2 linked regions of the Coturnix japonica genome follow. The protein of the gene in region 1 interacts with the protein of each later gene in a pairwise test. Links are inferred from orthologs where the notes say so. Each region holds a gene or a part of one and is shown in the gene's direction. Other genes may lie near its edges.

Region 1 (9,852 bases):
GTCAGTAAGAACAACTGCCACCTGTCCTGTCCATGGCCTCCCCTCCCACCTTTTCTTGGTACTTTTTGGGTACTTTGTGACATGTTTCTCCCCAGTTAATATCACTGCCTGTTGAGGAAAGAACCTGGTTAAAGATAGCAGTTCATACTGAGCTCCTAAAAGATTCCTTAGCAGATGGATACACTCCTCTGTTTTTAATGTGGTTGTGGCAAGTGTTACAACTTCTGAAAGGCATTACTCAATAGGGATATAAATATTGCTCCGTCAATGTCTTAATTCTTTTTCTTTAACAGCTTTGCTGTGCTGGGATCTTACTGCCAACAGGATATTTAATTACAAGGTTGTGTGCATACACAGCTGTAGGGTGTAGGAAAAGAACGCTGCTATTGAGTTGCTGTCCTGGCTTGGATTCAGAGAGTGCCGACAGGTAAAATTGTTCTCAGGCTCACCTTCTGCTCAGAGGAATGTTTGGTTTTGCAGACTTGTTCAGGTTGGTGTTACTGTGGGAGGGCTGAAGTTGTGTTTGCTTCCCTTTTCAATGCACTGATGTTCTCCCTCATTGTCACTTATGTTTTGCCTTTGCATAAGGAGACGCAGTGGCAGTGTGGAACTGTACACACAGTACACCCTGTACAGTATAGATCTCCCTGTACAGGTATTTCAAGGAAGACTGAAATAGAAAGGAGGGGGGGGAAATCAGCCATTACCTCTTGGGACCAATTCTGTGGTCAGAAGTTTCCTGGTCCAATTAGGATCTGTAAGAGATACAAAGTAGAGCAAACTGTGTAAACTGTTACAGCTGGAAGAAAATAACCTGCGATAAAGCAGGGTTCACTGTAAGAGTCTCACGGCCGTTCTCAGGTGTTGGTGATTTAGCTGGAGCTGTTCTGCACCTGTGCTGCCCTTTCTGGAGTTACTGTGAGGCTGTGGGTGTGTGTTTGTGTTCATGCATGCAGTGTTGGCACTGGAGGAGCTGAAGAACCTCCCATGGCTGCTGTGCTTTTCACCATTTGCTCCTTTGGACCACGAGGTGGGGATAGTTCAGCTTCTCCGTGTGTGGATGCTGAGCGTCTCTCTTAGAGCAGAGTGCGGTGCTGGAGGTTTTTGTGTTGATAGTGGGATGTTACAGTGAAAAAAAGCCCTGGAAGGGAAGTAGCAGCCGGCCCTCCAGAAGCATTCAGTCCTCCAAATCAACATGAGTTGCCATTTAACTTCACAGTGTTGGCATTTTGTGGGTGTGTGATGGGATTTGAGACTGAACCCCATCAACCCCATCACTGCTGTCACACAGAGCAGTGCCCTATGGAGGATCATCACCTTCTGCACTGATGAACCAAAGGGATTAATTGCTCCTGTGGGCAGCTCTCCTGCACACAGTGATTGCTTTGTCAGTCAGAAGTTGCAGTCTTTGCTTTTCTTCAGTTCCTTTAGTAACGATGGCAATTCGGAGCTGCTTTGAAGGTCTGTGTGGAGGGTATTATATAAGTCACAGAATGCAGTCAGTGGGGGCACAGACAGACCTTATTTCTCCAGGTAATGCTGGTGGTGAGCTCAGTGACTTCAGGCCTCGGCCCCATGTTCTGTTGTGGGGTTCTGATGTGCTTCACTTCATGGGCTGGTGTTACACACAGAGATGGCATTCTGCAAGCATTGCCAAGTGAGAATTGCTTAACATTCCCAAAGCTTGGGAAATCTACATGGGGAGATGTTTATCAGACACAGGGCTGGGCCCTGCTCTGCAGAACACAACTCCAAGCAGCGAGTAGAAATAATAACTACTGCTAATAGTGCTGCTGTCAGAGACTTGGGCCATGTCAGGGTGGTGAACGCAGCCTTCCTGAGCCTTGCATCCTCAGGTGATAGCTCTCAGGAGGGGATGGATGGAGGTCCCATCCCTCTGCTCACCACATGCTGCTCCACCTCCCTTCTCACTGACTCCATCGTAAACCTGAAATTGAAACCTCAGAATCCAAGTCTCAAGCATGAAAGAAACATCAGCCATAATAATACAGCACGAAGGAGCAGAAAACAGCAATCAAAGCTCTCAGTCTGCAGCAGTGCTGCTGCCATTCCCAAGGCCTGCAGCTTTGTGCTGGCTGCTCCTCACTGCGGGTCGCTGTACTGAGCTGTGCTGCACGTTCCCATTGACCAACAGTGACATGACAAACCATGGGAGCTGAATCAACACCACCTGTCACATGAGACCACTGTGACATTTCTGGCACGATTGCTACCTCTTAATAGATGGAAGTGGGAAGCTGCAGCAGCTTGTGAATAATGGATTAGATATGCTTGATTTGTAACATTTACAAAGAAAGGGTGTGTCTCCTAGCGACAGAACAAACTGCTTATCAAAGTGGGAACTAGGAGTTCTATGCTGTCCAAAACACAAAACACGAGATAAAGCAACGTGGAGCACAGGGTTATGGTCTGCTGAGCTCTGCTATGCTGCCCGGAGGGGCCATCCCTCCAATTCTGACCCTCGATTAGCAACAAAAGTGCATTAGTTAATTAAAAAAACAAAGAAAAACCCCATGCAAACTGTAGCTGGGAACTGGCACAGCCAGTCGGTTGCCTGGGGCACAGTGTGTGCATACGGTGTGTGAGAGTGACGTGGCTGCAGCCACTGATGTGCACGTGGCTGCTGATAGAGAACTGCACACCAGGCATGGGGGGGGAGCTGGGGCTCTATGGAGCTGCAGGATGCTGGGCTGTGGGGCAGGATATGGGGCAGCAATGGTTGATGTGGGGCAGGATATGGGGCTGGGCTGTGGGCTGGGCTGTGTTTCTCTGCTCACTGCGTGTGCTGAGTTCAAACAGGTTGTAAGGAATGGAAAGCATCGCGTGACACCCAACCATCAACCAGGACAAAAGCTGGAGCTGCAATGGGCAGCGCTGCCATTTCCTGAGCTCCTCATCCCTGGCGGCTTTGAAGCCACGTGGCAGAGATGCCCTCTGCCATTTTCACCTCAAGCAAAGGTTGTGTTTGCTCACGTAGCGATGGAATTATCTGGAAGGATCTGACAGCGTTTCCTGTTTCAGCAGCAGAAAGATGAGGCTTCTGCCCTCAGCACGGAAGGCGGATGGGCCTCGTCCTTAGAGCTCCCTCCCTTTGGGAAGACAGCGCTCACTTATCGGATTTGGTGCGGACGGAAGGAAGGGTAAGAAAGGAGCTGGGTCACTCTGTGACGTGAAATATTTTATATTGGGAGATCTGGCAATAGTTCTGCACGGCTCCAAACAGGATGAGATGCGATTCTCAGGGCCAGCTGTGCTGTGCTCAGTGCTAGGCCTTGCAGAGCAGGCTATTCCAGAACCTTCTGTCCTCATCCTGCCAGCCATGCTCACATTGAGCTGTTGTTGGAAAGCAAGAAACTCTTCCACATCCCCAAAGAATGGGAGGATGGATGGTGTGTGCTGCACACACATTTGACTCAACAGAAATAAGGCAACCTATGCTTTGTTCCAAGCAGAACCATCTCCTCCATGGGGTAACTCCACCTCAGCACCCAGAACCTGCTCCTAAGAAACACATACATGGAGAGGAGAGAGAATGCTTAAGGAAGGAGTTGTACTTGATACCTCAGACTAATGGTTTTAGCAGTGTTTATTCAGTTGGAAATGAGAGAAGAGCACGAGGTGCTGCTGTTGGGAACAGAACCAGGAACATGCGGGTGCTGCTGGGTTATGTGATGGCAAAAGCACGATGGATACGGAGCACAGGCTGCACACCAATGGTCCTCATCAGCAACCAGAAACTAAAAATAGTGTTTGAGTGAAAGAGAATGGAGCTGCAGCCTTTAATCCTCCCCATTCCCATCGGTAAGATGATATTATTATCACATGGAAAGCGAGGAGAACGTGAGTAAGCAGAAGCAGGTTGCTATTACAGTCACATTGTGGATTCCACGCAGCTCTGGGGATGACGTGTGGCTCTTTCTGCTTTATGCAGAGGCTGATATGAGGCAGGCTGAGCTGCAAGCATGGAGTGCAGTTTTGCTGCCCATTCCCACTCCTGCCCTCACATCTTGCAGTGTTCTGGACCGAGCAGAGTTCTGAGTCTGTGGGGCTCATAAATAGAACTGGAGTAAATGACAACAAGAACAGACCTGGGGGTCTGTTCTGACACACAAAGGAAGGCAGCGCTGCTCATAGGGCCCTTCATCTCAACATCCCAATGCTCTGCAAAGGGTTTGGAGCAGCCACAGCTGCTGATCTTTGCGTGCAGGTGGCTTTGAACCAGGCCCTGTCCTTACCCCGTCCAACAGGGAAACATCACAGAGGGGTCGGGTTGAGCTCCCCCAGAACGGCTGTGGTTTCATTGCTGCTCCTCCTGTTATTCACAGCGATGGGAGAGCCCCGTGGCTCCCTTCTATAGGGATTAATGGCACAAATACTTCACACAGCTCAAACTGTCTTAAAGCAGCTCAGCACCTGGAAGCCGCAGCCCGGTGCTGCTCCACGGGGGGAGGAGCAGAGCGGTGAGAGCCGAGCAAAGCTGATGGAGGGACGAAGGTTTGGAAGAAGCTCTTTAACTGAGCGGGGCAGAATTAGCAAAGCTTTATTCCCGCAGTTGACGCAACTCCACGTCTTGTAGAAATGGGTGGTAGCAAAAGCCTGATAAAATTACTGGAAGTTGCCAGGAAACGTGCGGTAATGGGGTAATGGCTCCGTACAACCGAGCGGCGAAGGCGATTAAAAGAGGAGGAAAAGGACTCAGACGCTGCGTCCCTGCGCAGGAGCCGCCCGGGCCGGTTGTGCTGGGCATTGCTGTGCCGGATCCCGGCGGCCAACACGGCGGCACCGAACGGTTCCGCTCCGGTTCCGCTCCGGTTCCTCTCGGGCCGTTCCCCTCCGCGCTGAGCGCAGCGCCCCGGCCCGGCAGGTGGAAGCGGCCGCTCCGCTCCGCCCCCCGTCCCGTCCCGGCTCCGCGCCGCCTCTTGCCGCCGCCCGCTCGCAGCTGACGGGGGCAGCCCCTTGTTTACTGGGCAGGAGGCGGCCGCCCGCCCGGCCTGCGCTGGAGTGGCCGAGAGCCGCGTCCTGAGCCGCCGGGCCGGGCTCCGCGCTGGGGTCGGCGGCCGGTTCCTCGGGGCTCTGCTGGACGATGCGAACCCGAAGCCGGGCCCGGCCCCCGCGCCCGCCCCGCGGCCTCTGATTCGCCCCCGCCGGGACGCGCCGAGCGGCTCCGGGACGCGGCCATGGCACCGAGAGCGGCGGCGGCGGCGGTGCTGGCCGTGACCGCGGTGTTGGCGGCCTGCGGCGGCCGCGCCGAAAGTGAGTGCGGGCGGGGAGCGGGGGGACCGAGGGACCGAGGGGGAGCGGGGCCCGGGCTGCGGCCCCGCACGGCGGCGGGGAGAGGCGGCCCCGGAGCGGTACCTTTGTACCTCTGCCCGGCGGGGCAGGGCCGGGCCTCGGGGCGGGCGGCGCGGCCTCAGGAGCGGGACAGCGGGGCCCGGAGCGCTCCCGTGGGGGGCGGAGGAGGGGGGAGGTTCGGGTGACCTTCATCGCTCGGTTCGGCGCTTCGGCCCCGGGCGGGTGGGAGGCGCGACGGGCCGCGGCTCCGCGGGTGCTCCGCGTTCCTCCGGGGCCGCGTTGGGCCGCCGAGCCGGGCGGAATCGCGGGGCCTCCGCGGCGCTGCGACCATCGGCCCGTCCGGCCGCGGCCATCGGGTGGGTGTTCGGCAGCCACGAGCCGGGTGCGGGGCTCGGGCCGACGCGGGGCCCACATGGGGCGACCCCGCAGCAGGAGCCGCCGCGCTGCGGGACGGGTCGCGTGGGTGCGCGGTGTGTTGTGTGTGTGCGTGCGGGCGGTGAGTCCTGGTAAAGGTGAATGTGTTTCTTTGGAGGAAAGCACGCGGGTCCCACGGCCTGTCGGCTTTGCCACCAGCAAAGGCAGCATAGAGAGAGAATAGCTCCAAATCCACCCAGCGCAGCGATGGGCATCGCTGAAACGTCGATACACAGTGAGAATAAAGCACAGAATGCAGCACTCAATGGCTGCTCGGCTTCTCCCCGCTGTGTGCTGCAGAGCCCCGTGCTGTCCTCATACAAAGGTTTGGCATGGAGGCCTTAAAGGCGACCCCGAGCAGCTCCAGAGGAGCACAGCTGGCTGCACACACAGCGCTGGGCTGGTTGGTGAATAGCACTGCTATTAAAACACACGCTGCTCCAGCACAGCAGTTACTGATTTGAAAGCACTGTTATTGCTGCCACACCGAAACGCTGTGTTTATGTGCTTATTTAAAAGCTAATTCTGCTTTTTATTGCAAGTGTAAAAAGTGAACAGCTCGGATGGTGCTCGCTGTGTTACTCCACAGTAGGAAAGGAAATGTGCTGTACAATTATGGATGGAGAACAGGAGCGACACAGGAGGTGCAGCAGCAAAACCTGGGCTGGAATGTGTGTCATTCACAGCACAGACACTGCAGCAGAGATCTCACAGCCTCTGCTGCGCTCAGGTCCCACCTCGAAGGCTCTGCAATATGTGCAATGTGTGCTGCGTTCTGTGCTTCCACTCGCAGTGTGGGTTGGGGGGATGCAGTACAAGGGCTGTGTCAGCACACACGTGTTGTTCCCTGAGCAATGGAGCTCGTGGATGCTGCATTCTGGGCTGTGTCTGCTCCCCACTGATGGTATTCTCTGCTCCTTGAGCCTGTGGTTCCCCAATGATCATCTGCGATGGTCTGTGGGCTGTCTGTGTCATCCTGGCCCCATGGTGCAGACCCATGAGCAGCAGCTGTGTCTTGCTGAGGTCCCAAGGTTTGGTTGGTGCACTTCCATCACACTGCAGTGTTCTTCTTGGGGGGGTGTAATGAAACTTGTCTATCGTGATTCATTTATTTGATTATTATTTTTTTTAAAGTGATTTTGTTCTGAGTAACCAGAGATGGAGGAGCAGCTCCTCTCTGGCAGCAAAGCCAGTCATTACTTCGCCTAAATCTGCTTCTCGTTGTCCTGGTAACAGTAAATGCACGGCTGACTTAGCAGCTGTGGTGTGCTCTGAGCTGCTGCAGAGTGGGATTCAGACACACGATGGGGTTGAGGGCCCTGAGACAGAGAAGCAGATTTGGCTTCATGTGGTTACGGCTCCTTCTCGTGGGTCCTGGAGGTGCGAAGGAGGAGTGTGGGAGCTGTGGGTGATGCTCAGCACATCAAAACTAACCTGGAGAAGATAATGAAAGATAAACCTTAAACGTGATTCTCTCTAAAGGTGGAAAAATCTGGCCTGAGCGTTTGAATCTTCACAGGTTTACCATCCCAGCACCTTCTGTTTGATTGGTTCAGATACAGACCCATGATGTGCTCTGAGTGCTCAATGTGGGTGGGGGTCTCAGTGCATCCAGGGGCACTGAGCAGCACTCCTTGGCACTGCCATCACATGGCAGGGAGCCCCTGTGGGCTGCTCCCCGACTGCTGGGTCTGGTCTGAAGGGAGCAGCAGACCCTGTGCCTGCCCTGCTCCCCGTCCGCGTGTGGCTGGAAAGCAGTTTGTTCTCCTCCCGATCTCCTTTAGGTCTCTGAAGCTCTTCCACTTGGCACCGCTGAGCTGTGATTACGTTCCTCTTCCTCGAGTGAATGTCAGGAGCTCGTTAGAGGCTGCAGTGAAGTCAATCACTTCTCAGCACAGGCAGATTGTTGGGTTCAGAATGAAATGATTCAGAGACAAATGTGCCGATTTTAATTGTTACTAAAAAAAAACCCACCCCAGCCTTGTTGCACCGATGACATTTATTCTAGGCCTTTCCTTCCTCCCCTTCCAGCCCTAATTCTGCCATTCCACGATGCTCTGTGCCCCCACTTCTTCTTGCAGAAGGCATCTCTGATGCTGTGTGCTCACAGCAGTCCCAATGGGCACTAATGCTGCTCTGAGTCCCACAGCAGCACTGCCAGTTTGAGGCTGGTTTTTTTTCTCTCATTGCAGTTGAGCAAAGTTTTAAACAATCATTAAGACGTTTGCATATAAAGTATATTTTTAACTCACACAGCAGTGACCTTTAGTGCACCCACCAGGAGCTGGAGAGTCAGAGCTATCCAACGTCTGCACGTGCCTTAATTTTATAAGGCTTGATTATTGCCAAGTGATTTCTCGAAGCTTCATTTTACAGTCACTGCTCTGTATATACAGTGAGCAAAAAAGGTAAATATCCTGCGCTGTTAATTCTCAAGGGGAGGATGTGTTCCTTCTCTTCCCAGTGCTGCCATGTTCTCCCCATTGCTCCTTTCCTATCTTCCCCTCCCCACCACCATTCTCAGTGACCCCCCCAGCACCAATTGCACAACGCAGTGAGGTAGTTGTGTCGCTGGCAACTATCTAAAGAAAACAGACTGTGTTGCATGGACACCTCCACTTCGGTAAACGCTGAGTGACGTCCGAGGCCCGGTGCTGCCTTTCCAGTCGTGGTAGAGGTAATATCCACAAACTCAAGATGGCAGAACGTTATGAAATCCCCATTGAGTCGTGTTTTGTAATCATATACCGGGGAGTGTTCCCAGCTCTATTTCTTAACGCTCGCAGCGTGTTTTGTCGCACAGGACCCGTCCGTGTAGTCTGAATGCAGCTGCATTTTAGGATACAGTTGGAAGAATGGGTGTGTTTAGCCAGCTAACGGTCACCTTTATAAGAACAAATAAACAGCATTGTTCTTTGCCTCCCAGTTTGCAGAAGCATGGACATCCGCAACAACCTGACCCGGCTGAGCTTGCTGGAGAACTGCACGGTGATTGAGGGCCACTTACAAATACTGCTGATGTTTAAAACCAAGCCTGAAGATTTCCGCGAGCTCAGCTTCCCCAAACTGACTATGATTACAGACTACTTGCTTCTGTTCCGTGTGTATGGCCTGGAGAGCTTAAAGGGCCTCTTCCCCAACCTCACGGTGATCCGAGGAACACATCTGTTCTTTAACTACGCGCTGGTCATCTTTGAGATGGTTCATCTAAAGGAGATCGGCCTCTACAACCTGATGAACATCACGCGCGGTGCCGTGCGCATCGAGAAGAACAACGAGCTGTGCTACCTGTCCACTATCGACTGGTCGAGGATTTTGGACTCCGTCGAGGACAACTACATCATCGCCAACAAGGATGACAAGGAGGAGTGTGGAGATGTGTGTCCTGGGACGGTGAAAGGGAAGAGCAACTGCCCACCCACCGTCATCAACGGCATCTTCATCGAGCGCTGCTGGACCCACGACCGCTGCCAGAGAGGTGGGTGAGCTGCAGGGCAGCTGAGATGCTCCCATCAGCTGTTACCCATCCATGTGAATAACGTGCCCAAAAGTGCCGTGTTTGGGTTCCCTGGAAAGTCAGGGGCTTCCCAGAGCTCCCAGTTGTGCTCTATGGGTGTAGCTGTTGTCTGTGTCCTAGTATTAGGAATTCTTTTGGGGCTGTGGGATTAAAAGCCTGGCTCGATTGAAAGGCGGATACAGAGCAGCAGGGAAAGGTCTTATGGAATAAAGCTGACTCCGGAAGGATGCAATAATGCTTTTACTGAAACCTTCCTGCCATAAAAAGGTGTGAGATGGGTGGGTGGGTGAGCACTGTTTGCACACAGCAGGAAGCTGGGAGAAGGGGAGGGGAGGAAAGGCCGGGTTTGGTGCTGCAGAGCTGTGTGCACAGCTGCCATCCCAGCCCCCAGACTCCAGTTCTTGACGTCCTTAAGGTGGCTTTGAACTTCATACAGGTTTGTTTCTTCCAAACTTGAAGCTGACCTTAATTTTGGTTGTAATTATACGTTTGGTTTGATTTATGTGAAATCCACCCGACGAGAAGCAAAGCGAATTGAGGTGAAAGTGACACATTCAGAGCTGTCTGTCTCCTCGGTGGTAGTGCATCCAAATGAAGCAGTGTGTCCT
Region 2 (10,101 bases), on another chromosome or scaffold:
TTCCTCTCAACTAGCAGAAGGCCTGCAGATTCTCTCTTCTGTTTTGACAGATCCTATTGCACTTCTGCAACAACTGAAATGCTGCATGTAATGAAAATGTTTATGTTCCTATTTATGATTTTTTTCCCACTCTCTTTACACATCAGATCATTGCTTAGGTTAATGCTTTATCACATACAAGTCCAAATTTATGGATTTCTTCATTAACATCTCACCACAACAAAGATGCAGCAAAACCTTCAGCAAACACAAAGTAAGCTTTGCTTTAGCTCAACAATTTTTTCTCAGTAGCACGAATGCCCAGAATCTTAGAGAAACTAACTACCCTTGGTCTATCCATGTGCTAACTGCCAGATTACAATGAAGGAAGAGCTCACCTTGAGCAATAATGCCATGTTTTCACTCAAATCAAATTTCCAGGAAGGGAGACTGTAGGGAACAATTAGCATCAAACTGCTACTCACATTACTAAGCCATCTGTTTTCCATTTTTACACAGCATCAGATCATGAGGTTTGGATGAGGCCATCCATTATGTAGGAGACGCAGATAACTAGCTTGAACTTTCAAATATTACTCCAAATTTGCTTGTTTGTTTTCCAAAAAACTTTGCCTTATGCAACAAACAAGTGAACAGCCCTTTTGGTCTCACTAATGGTTTAGAAAATAAAAACATTGCTTTGAAATTGTTCTAGCAAATCCTTTCTTGGCTACTTTGCAAGTGACCTCATGATCTATTGTTAAGTGATTTTTTGTTATTTTAAAGAGCAAAGGGAAGCCCAAAGACCCTTTCCATGCTTCTCACATGGAAACCTGACTGAAAATGGATCAACAAGTACATTCTAAGAAAAGAAAAGAAAATAAGTACTTATTTGCTACTTTGTATGTTCTTAAAAGTAATTAAGAAATACAATATTTCACTTTCCATGTGACCTACATGAAGTGGTTGAAGTAGAGTTCCATAAGCTGGATTTTGTACCTGATGTTGCCCATATCTAGTTCACTGCTGTTCTTGTGCAAAGACATCTTTACTTATTCTTAAGCTATTAATGTAAGTACACAAGTATTGCCTAGATAAACGTGTTTTCAGCAACTCATCCAATTGACAAACTGTTCATGGTTCCTCAGCTATTACTCAGCAGAGCAGATGAACTGTAATGCAAATATAACAGGAAGTTCATACATCAGGCAATGTCTCCACACTATAGGACTAGACGTTCCAAGGCATCAAACTGAGATGAAGATGGCTGGTGAGGTATAGTATACTTTGAAGTTCAAAGTATAGTTCCAACAAGTCCTATTACATTTACTAAAGTATTCTTCCTTATATAGAGGAACAGATGCCTTACTTAGAAAGTCACTCTCTCATATTTTCTTAAGCTGTTCAGTAATTATAAGAAAAATTCGCATGCCTGTTCTGATAAAGAATCACCATTCTGACGATGGGATTCCTAACATGCATGGGGATGCAAATGAAGAAAAAATGCAGAAAGTTTACTTTTCAAGAGGAAATGAAGGAATGATTCATGGTGGGATTTTTTTTGCTTCACATATTTCTAATGCAAACACTATGTTTCACAATTTATTTGTCTCTCTAGACATCATAATTCTGAGGCAGTTCTCAAGACACAATTACTCAAACAAGTCCATCTTTGTTATGTATCAGAAAAGACACAACAAAAAGCAAGCACAAATAACAACTATAGAATCATAGAATCACCAAGGTTGGAAAAGACCTAATAGAGCATCCAGTCCAACCATTCACCTATTACCAACAGCTCTCACTAAACCATGTCCCTCAACACAACATCCAAATCATCAAAGTCATTGTAATTGTGCAACAATACTCTATGAAAAGCCTTTCTGACACTATCATGGTACATTCAACCCTGCTAACCCACCTACAATATTCTTTTGTACCTCAGTGCTTAATGTCACGACAGTCTAACTCTCTGCTGATGTGTCTGTTCAGCCTGTTACTTAGAAAAGACCTGTTTTTAATTTAAACTGTGGTATATCTCTTAATAAGTCTAAACTACCTAAGAACTGTATCATTTTCCATTAATTTATTAATACGAGAACTTCAGATATGACAGGGGCTTGACACAAACTGGATTAACATTCATCTTTCTAATCATCAACCTTCAGGTGTTTCACTGGGGACTTAGAGCTGGATTCAATGGTTTTCATATCACCTATTACCGTGACATCACTGAGCACTACAAAGTTTTCAAAGCATGAAAGGCCCATTTAAGTCCTGATTTTACTGATTCTGTAACGGGATTCCTGTCTTAAACCAAAACCCTTCAGATTAATTGTTCATCAATTAAGTTGGCTTTAGCGTAACAACAGCAAAAGGTAAATCAAAACAGTTATTTTTCATCCAGTGTTAGATAAGGAGCTCCATTCAAAGATGTTTTGGTACTGTCAATCTATGTTATCATTTCAAATACAAGTACCAACACCTATGCGGTAGTAGATATCTGCTTCCTCCAAAGCAGAGAAACGTTGAAAGAATTATTATGTAAACAAAAGTGACAGCTTATGTATACAGTTCATATTCCATAAATTATAGAAACTAAACTAGAAAGAAATGACACGCATTAATGCCCCATGTTAACTGCTGAATAAATATGCATGATTCTATAGACATGCTCATACAATCAATGAAGGTGCACCTTCACAAAATGCCTTACCATGAGAAAAAACTTTCATTGTGCCACAAATACGCTTGATTTTTCCCCACAGTCAATGAAAAAAGTCTTATAAAAATACCAGTGTTTGCATTTATAAAGAATACTTATATACAATTAGAACTATACCCACAATGTATTAATGTGCCCCCTGGCTTCTCAAAGGCTTGTCAGTGCCAATATGTGTACATATGCGCTAGCTCTCGGTGTTCAGAACAAGACTGATATACCGTGGAAGAAGCTCTCACTTTATGTATGAAATGTGCCACATGTACCAGACATAACGATATTAAAATGATATTACAATGGGAAACACCCATGCATAGACAAAAAGACTTCAGTGCACACACTTTTTACATCTCTTAGAAAAGCAGCCTCTATAATCAAAAATATTTAGTTCAGAGGAAGAAAATTTACCTACAACTTGCAGGGTGCAGGCAGGAAAATAAGCATACAGAGTTAAAAAAAAATAAACAAATCTTCATACAGTTGATTTCTATCACGAACTTTATTTTCTGATTTCAGACCAAGTATCTCCTTCATTCTGGAACACGTTTTAAGAACTGGCAAAGAAATGCATCTAAAATTCGTCTAAACTCAAGTACTCGGTAAAACAAACTCGCTGCAGTTCAAGACTAAACTGAAAGGATGCAAATAATTCATGTGCCTGGTGCCATCTCCTGGTAGCTTAGAGATAAAACCATCAGAACACTGAATGCTGTTTCGCAATAGTAGCTTTTTAAACTCCCCAAATTCACAAAAGCTGTTTCACTAGACAAGAAGGCCACTATCAAGACATAGCTTCATTCATGCTAAATGATGTTTTCACATCGGATTAACACTTGCATAACGAAACGGAGATTGTAAATGGCTGGGCTGGTTCAGGAAAAGCCTTTAGCCAGGAACAACCCACACATCGTTCCCTCCCATAGCACACAGAACTAAGCAGATATAATAAAAAAGTAGCAATTTCACTAGAAACCGTGGAAGTTCAGCTAATTGAGAAGGGCCTCAGCCCACCAGGAGTTAAGACAGCATCCAACACAGGATCTACAAATACCACAATATGGACTGAGGGAGAAAGGGAGCAAAAAGTCAACAAACAAGCTCAACACTCACCATCAGTATTAGGCACAGACAGTTTCAGATGGGCAGCATTATAAACCCCCAAAGGCAACTCAAAACAATATGCAGAAAATAAGAGGGATGAAGGTTAAAGTACTAGTTCTATGTGCTAGTAAGTAGAGAAGCTCCCCCTAAAGTGGGGAAGGAAATAAAGGAGCTTGAGATCTACCAGAACAGGAGAACTAGAGCTCTGTTACCCACAGTAAGATTTCCTTCCTCTGCACAGGAAGAACTGGATTTTGCTGAGACTTAATATGACAATTTGTTAATGTGATAAGAGGGCTTTTATAACAAACAGGACTTTTATTCTACAGACTGTTTTATTCTGCTGGCAGGAGAGACCTGTCCACAACGACCCGAGGGTTAAAAAACTAAACAAGAACAAAAATAAAAGCCCCAAACCTGGGAAGGAACTTTACACATGGATTATTTCTTCTTGTCTGCTGAATGACTACAGGAGCATGACTAGAGTTGCCTTAAAAAATTTGCAGGAGCAGCAGTGATCTGGATTGTCACAGGTTCATTAACAATGGCCATGGGGAAGCAATCATTAAATGTTGCAGAAAAGCCAAGATAAATAGGGGATGTTTAATTCCACAAAAAGAGAATAATAAATATATATATGTGTGTGTCATATCAAAATGTAATTGAGAAACACAGCAATGACTAAAGAATCATAAGAGAACCAAATTAAATGCAACTGGGATTTCACATTCCTTCTGAAAATTAAGGCTTTAGCATGAGATAATTAAAGCAAGGACGGCCAACTCGTGATGTGCCAGAACGTATAACTCAGTCTGTCATCTGCATTGCCGAGTCCCCGCGAGCTGCTCAGGAAGCGGGCTGTCAGACACACCGCTCCCTCACCCACAGCACTATCCCCACTGCTCCCCGTGACAGCCCCACAGCCTCCTGCTTGTCACGCAGCTGGACATGCCCTAAATGTGAACTACAGGCATCAGCAGCACATGGAAAAGCTCCTCATCCGCCTCTGCCAAAACACGGAGAAACCAATTTGTGTTGAAGCAGATCAGCTACCTGCAACGGGAGACCCTTAAGAATCCACCAGAGCGCTGAGGAGCCGCACTTCGCTTCTATGAGCGCTGGGTTTGTCTATTCCACCGGGTCTAACTACAATGGCGCAGCGGAGGCGGCTCGTAGGGAACCTCGGAGGGAGAAAAGCACGAGAAAATCCCAGAGTGGGAAAGGAAGGGCTCTGAGAGCGCTCTGGGACGGGAATAGCGCAGGGGCTGAAGGAGAATAGCGGGTATTAACAGCAATCCGACTGCTAAACGCTGAGCGGGGCGGCTTTCGTACTGAGCACAACCAGAAATAGCCCAGAGAAGAGGCAGCACCTCCATAAGGACACACGCACCCAACGGCACCTGACGGGACGCACCCACACACCGCAAACCCCGCCCGCCAACGGCCGCACCCCGCGCATGCGCAGCACGGCATCCCGCCTGCTCAGCCCTCGCAGTCGGCCGGAAGGGGCGGGGCGTGATTTGAAGCGGGCGGCGGGCACCGCCATGGCCGCGCAGCTGGGCCGCGAGCAGCAGGGAATCACCCTGCGGGGCAGCGCGGAGATCGTCGCCGAGTTTTTCTGTAAGGGGCTGCGGGCCGCCCAGGGGTGCGGGGAGACGGGGGCGGGTTGGGGGGAAAAAGGCGGGCGGGCGGCTGGCTCTAATGCCGCGGCCGACATGGCCGCCTGTAGGGCGGGAGGGGTGGCCCCCTTACAGAAGCCTCCCCGCTTTGTGCGCGCAGCTTATGGCATCAACAGCATCCTGTACCAGCGGGGCATCTACCCCCCTGAGACCTTCACCCGCGTCCAGAAGTACGGCCTTACCCTGCTCGTCACCACCGACCCCGAGCTGAAGAACTACCTCAACAACGTGGTGGAGCAGATGAAAGGTGAGACCTGCCCCCCCCCGCTTCCCGTCCCCTTTTCTCCTTCCCCTTTTTCTCATACAGCCGTAGTAAATGCTGCGGCCTCTTCCAGAGTGGCTTTATAAGTGCACCGTGCAGCGCCTGGTGGTGGTCATCTCCAGCATTGAGAACAATGAGGTACTGGAGCGGTGGCAGTTTGACATTGAATGTGACAAGAGCGCCAAGGGTGAAAGGTGAGTGACAGCGTTTCTGTGCCTGCTTCTCCCTGTTGGGAGACACAAGGGAAAGACCAAGTATGGTAGTGCTACCTCTGTAACCTAAGAGCTATCTGACGTTACCAAATAAAGCTGTGGGTGCCATTGATGTGCTCCAGGGACTGGATGCAATCCAGGGGGACCTGAACAGGCTGAGCAGTGGGCCCAAGTGAGCTTCATGTGATTCCACAAAGCTAAGAGCAAGGTATTATACCTGGGTTGGGGCAACCCCTGCTTTCAGTACAATCTGGGGGACATAAGAATGGCGCACAACCCTGCTGAAAAGGTCTTGGTGGCAAGCTGGACATGAAGCCTGAAATCATAGAATTACCCAGGTTGGAAAAGACCTTGAACATCATCAAGTCCAACCGCAGCCTAACCAGTACCCTGACTCTAAAAACCCTACACTAAATCATATCCCTGAGTAGGGATATGACCTAACAGCCCAGAAAGCCAACTGTATCCAGGGCCACATCCAAAGAATTGTGCATGGTCAGCAGGGTAAGGGACGTTATCCTGCCTGTATGCTCTGCGCTGGTGAGCCATCACCTGGAGTACTGCATCCAGATTGAGAATTCTCAGTACAGGAGAGACATGGAGCTGTTGGAGTGTGTCCAGAGGAGGGCCACAAAAATGGTCCCAGGGACAGAACAACTCTCCTGTGAGGATAGTCTGAGAGAGCTGAGGTGTTTAGCCTGGGGAAGGCTTAGGGGAGACCAGAGAGCAGCCTTTCAGTATTTTGAGGGGGGGCTATGTGAAAGAAGCTGACAGACTTGTCAGGGCACAGGGTGTGATAAGAGTGAAGTGTTTCGCTAAAAGAAGTGAGGTTTAGATTGGATATAAGGAGGAAATAAGTTTTTTGGCTTGTTTTTGTTTGTTTGTTTCTTTTTTTACAATAAGAGTGGTGAGGCACTGGCACAGTTCATCCAGAGTAGTAGTAGATTCCCCATCCTTGGAGCCACTCAAGGTCAGGCTGGCAGGACTGAGCAATCTTGTGGATCTGTAGGTGACTGTTTATTGCAGGAGAGTTGGAATACATAACAATTAGAGGTCCCTTCCAACTCAAATGATTCCATCATTCAGTTATCAAAATGTTTTGTAATCTGCAACTGAACAAAGTCCTGTATTACTGCTCTTCTGCTGTTTTGCCAAAACTCTCACCCAACCCAGACAGCAAATATGTCCTTAAAAACACTGCGAGGTTTCACAAACAACAAATTGAAAGTTACAGTTTTGTGAGCCTAAGGCTTGAAAGAATGCTTCTGCATAACCATACAGCAAACATACCCCACAGCAGTGCAGCAAGAACTGTGTTTAAAGAAAGCTGTCAGTATTGGAGGTGCAAGTTGTTTTCTTAAAGAGTTTTCTCATTTTTCCAGCGCACCCCGAGACAAATCTCAGAAAGCCATTCAGGATGAAATTCGATCTGTTATCAGACAAATCACTGCCACGGTAACTTTTCTGCCTCTCCTGGAAACTGCCTGTGAGTATTTGTAACTTCTCCGAAAGAAATGACACTTCTTTCAGAAAGCCTGAACTAGCATTTGATTGTAGAAAATCTTTTCCACTATTCTGTTTTTATTATTATTATTTGAAGTGTCATGTATTGCATTTCTGGGTATATGTTTGGTTAGACCAAGACAGTCTCAGCTATGTACAGTATAGAAGCAGCATCAGATAAAGTACTCTAAGTATTGTCCTGTACTGCTTCTTGTACAACAAACTGAAAAAGAACTGCTACTGTAAATACTGTGCTCTCTTTCAATCAAGCACTTGGAGCAACTTCATTGGAAGTTAAACTCTTAAACTCGTTTTTTCCCCAAAAGGTGCAATTCAAGGTGATTTAAGTAGCTTGAAGAAACTTGGTGTATCTGAGGACCTACAGCTGTCATAAATATTGCGACTACAGGAATGATAACTAGTATTTGTTTTCATTCCTTTAACTGCCATTTCTTTTTCTATAGATGCCATAACTACTGATAACCTTCTTGCATGTCTCCATGCGTTTTAACTTCAATTATGGTATCATTCCTATGTGTGTAGCATTAACTTTTTCCCACCTGCTTACAGGTGCCTTTGACTTGCTGATTTACACAGATAAAGATTTGGTAGTGCCAGAAAAGTGGGAAGAGTCAGGACCACAATTCATTGCCAATTCAGAAGAGGTTCGTCTTCGTTCCTTCACTACCACGATCCATAAAGTCAACAGCACGGTGGCTTACAAAAAGGATTCTTTTCCTTAAAACTGTTTCTTGTACATATCCTGTCCTCTTGTATAGTGTCTGTTCATAGAGCAGCTATGTTGTGAACACATGATTGCTCTTGCTGAATGTGCAGTATTGTGCCTGATAATGTGGTGTAACACTAGATTAAGGTGGCACTGTTTGAAGAGCTCTGAGGTGTTCATGACAGTATTAGGCCTGTTTTTCATGCAAGGTCTGGATTTCATGACCAGAAATAATCCATATCTAATCCCAAGATTAATTCTAAAGTTTTTACCATAAAAGCAGCTGATGAGCAGGAAAAGGCCCGAACAGATGAAACACAGCATTTTGAAGAACATGAGACTGCAGTTCTGGAGAGGGTGCTGTTCTGCATCAGTGTGTCTTGTCCTTCTTCAGCAGCTGCACAGCATTTTCTATGTCTGTATTCTTGTTTTATGGAATAAACCTTGAAACTGTATAGAGTTCTCCTAGTCACAGAATGTGGGAATTTGTATTTTAGATGTTAGAATTCTGTATAGCAGCAGTTCAGGCTAATGCCGCAAGTACCTCAGTCACAAATCAAGTGCTTTTGTCAACGTGAAATCCATGAAACTATTCATTAATTGTAGTTTGTCCCCACTCGTGCCTAATACTGTTTGTGGATGATTAGTGATGACTCTATCAATTTTGCGGAATGGTCCTGTAAGATCACCTGGTTTCAACCCCTGCTACAGGCAGGGACACCTACATCTCGATCAGGTTGCTTAAAGCCTGTCCCAGCTCCCTTCCAGGGAGGAGGCATTTACAACCTCACAGGGCAACCTGTTCCAGTGTCTCACCGCCCACACAGTGAAGAGTCTCTTCCCAATATTTAGTTTAATATTACCCTTTTACATCTTAAAGCCATTTCCTCTTGTCTTGTCACTACATGCCCTTATAAAAAGTAATTCCCCCTCTTTCCTGCAGGCCCCCTTTAGGTACTAGAAGGCTGCTATCAGGTCCCCCCCCTGGAGCCTTCTCCAGTGTGAAGAGCCTTAATTCCCCATAATCATTAAGCACAGCGTTGCCTTCTAAATTAGTATCAGACAACAGGCCAGCTGAAGAAGCTCCATAAAAAAAATTTACACTAGCATACACTGCTTTCAGCATTCCCAACAGTCACACTGGAGTTACTTAGTACTTAAGCACTTATGGTTTGACTGATACACGAGTGGTACAATACTATCATTTAAAAAGAGTTTATTTTAAAACTATTGATTTTGTAATATTGCTGCAGAGTGTAAATAATGGGCTTTCCTACCAGGAAATATCCATCCCCACAGCAGTCCCATTTTAGAATATTAGAAAGACACTATATAAACCAGTAAGACAAATCATACTGCAGCTAGACTGTATTTAACAGAGGAATAAGCCTAGTACTTCCCTCTGCCTGTCAGTGGTGTTGTTAAGCAGCTGACTGCACTACCTGCTTACACCTAGAAGTAGGTGCGCTTTAAACAGTAAAGTGCAATTTTAAGCACTTCCCTTGGGGAGGACTGGATCAAAGCAATGGTTGCTGTTCCCTTGTAACAAATTTACATCAGAGAATGCCAACGCGTGCTTCATAGCAAAGGTGAGAGGGTGGACTGGTACAGTGCCAGCAGTAAAAGGTACTGAAAACAAAGATAAAAAATCCAACGCCTTAAAAAAAAATCAGATTGCTCCAGAAAGTTCAAGTCATTTCGTTTTTTGCACCAAATAAAGTTTCTTTCTCAAGGACCAGCCCGGAGTGCAGCTTCATCACCTGGATTTTGTTGGCTTTCTTTACCTTCTTTTTTAAAGGTAGCAATAGACAAGAGATGTAGTATATCATTGTAGAGAGCCCAGGTCCATGAAAATTACATGTGAAAAAGAGCAGGTTCTAAGTCCTGGTGTTTTTGCAGAGACTGCAGAACAGAAA

What was found. The genes of interacting proteins can lie anywhere in the genome.
Region 2: the proteins of INSR (region 1) and MAD2L1 interact in binary tests that used the Homo sapiens proteins (3 or more experiments, as listed by UniProt). The link is inferred for Coturnix japonica from reciprocal best matches to the Homo sapiens genes INSR and MAD2L1.

Annotation. Positions count from the first base shown.
Region 1 is NC_029543.1:3,196,158-3,206,009, reverse strand, and holds the start of INSR (insulin receptor), read left to right. Parts: upstream 1-4,962; 5' UTR 4,963-5,198; coding exon 5,199-5,274; intron 5,275-7,372; exon of another isoform or gene 7,373-8,404; intron 8,405-8,653; coding exon 8,654-9,205; intron 9,206-9,852. UniProt on the Homo sapiens protein: Receptor tyrosine kinase which mediates the pleiotropic actions of insulin.
Region 2 is NC_029519.1:48,822,113-48,832,213, forward strand, and holds MAD2L1 (mitotic spindle assembly checkpoint protein MAD2A), read left to right. Parts: upstream 1-5,284; 5' UTR 5,285-5,346; coding exon 5,347-5,422; intron 5,423-5,581; coding exon 5,582-5,728; intron 5,729-5,816; coding exon 5,817-5,937; intron 5,938-7,337; coding exon 7,338-7,441; intron 7,442-8,028; coding exon 8,029-8,201; 3' UTR 8,202-8,649; downstream 8,650-10,101. UniProt on the Homo sapiens protein: Component of the spindle-assembly checkpoint that prevents the onset of anaphase until all chromosomes are properly aligned at the metaphase plate.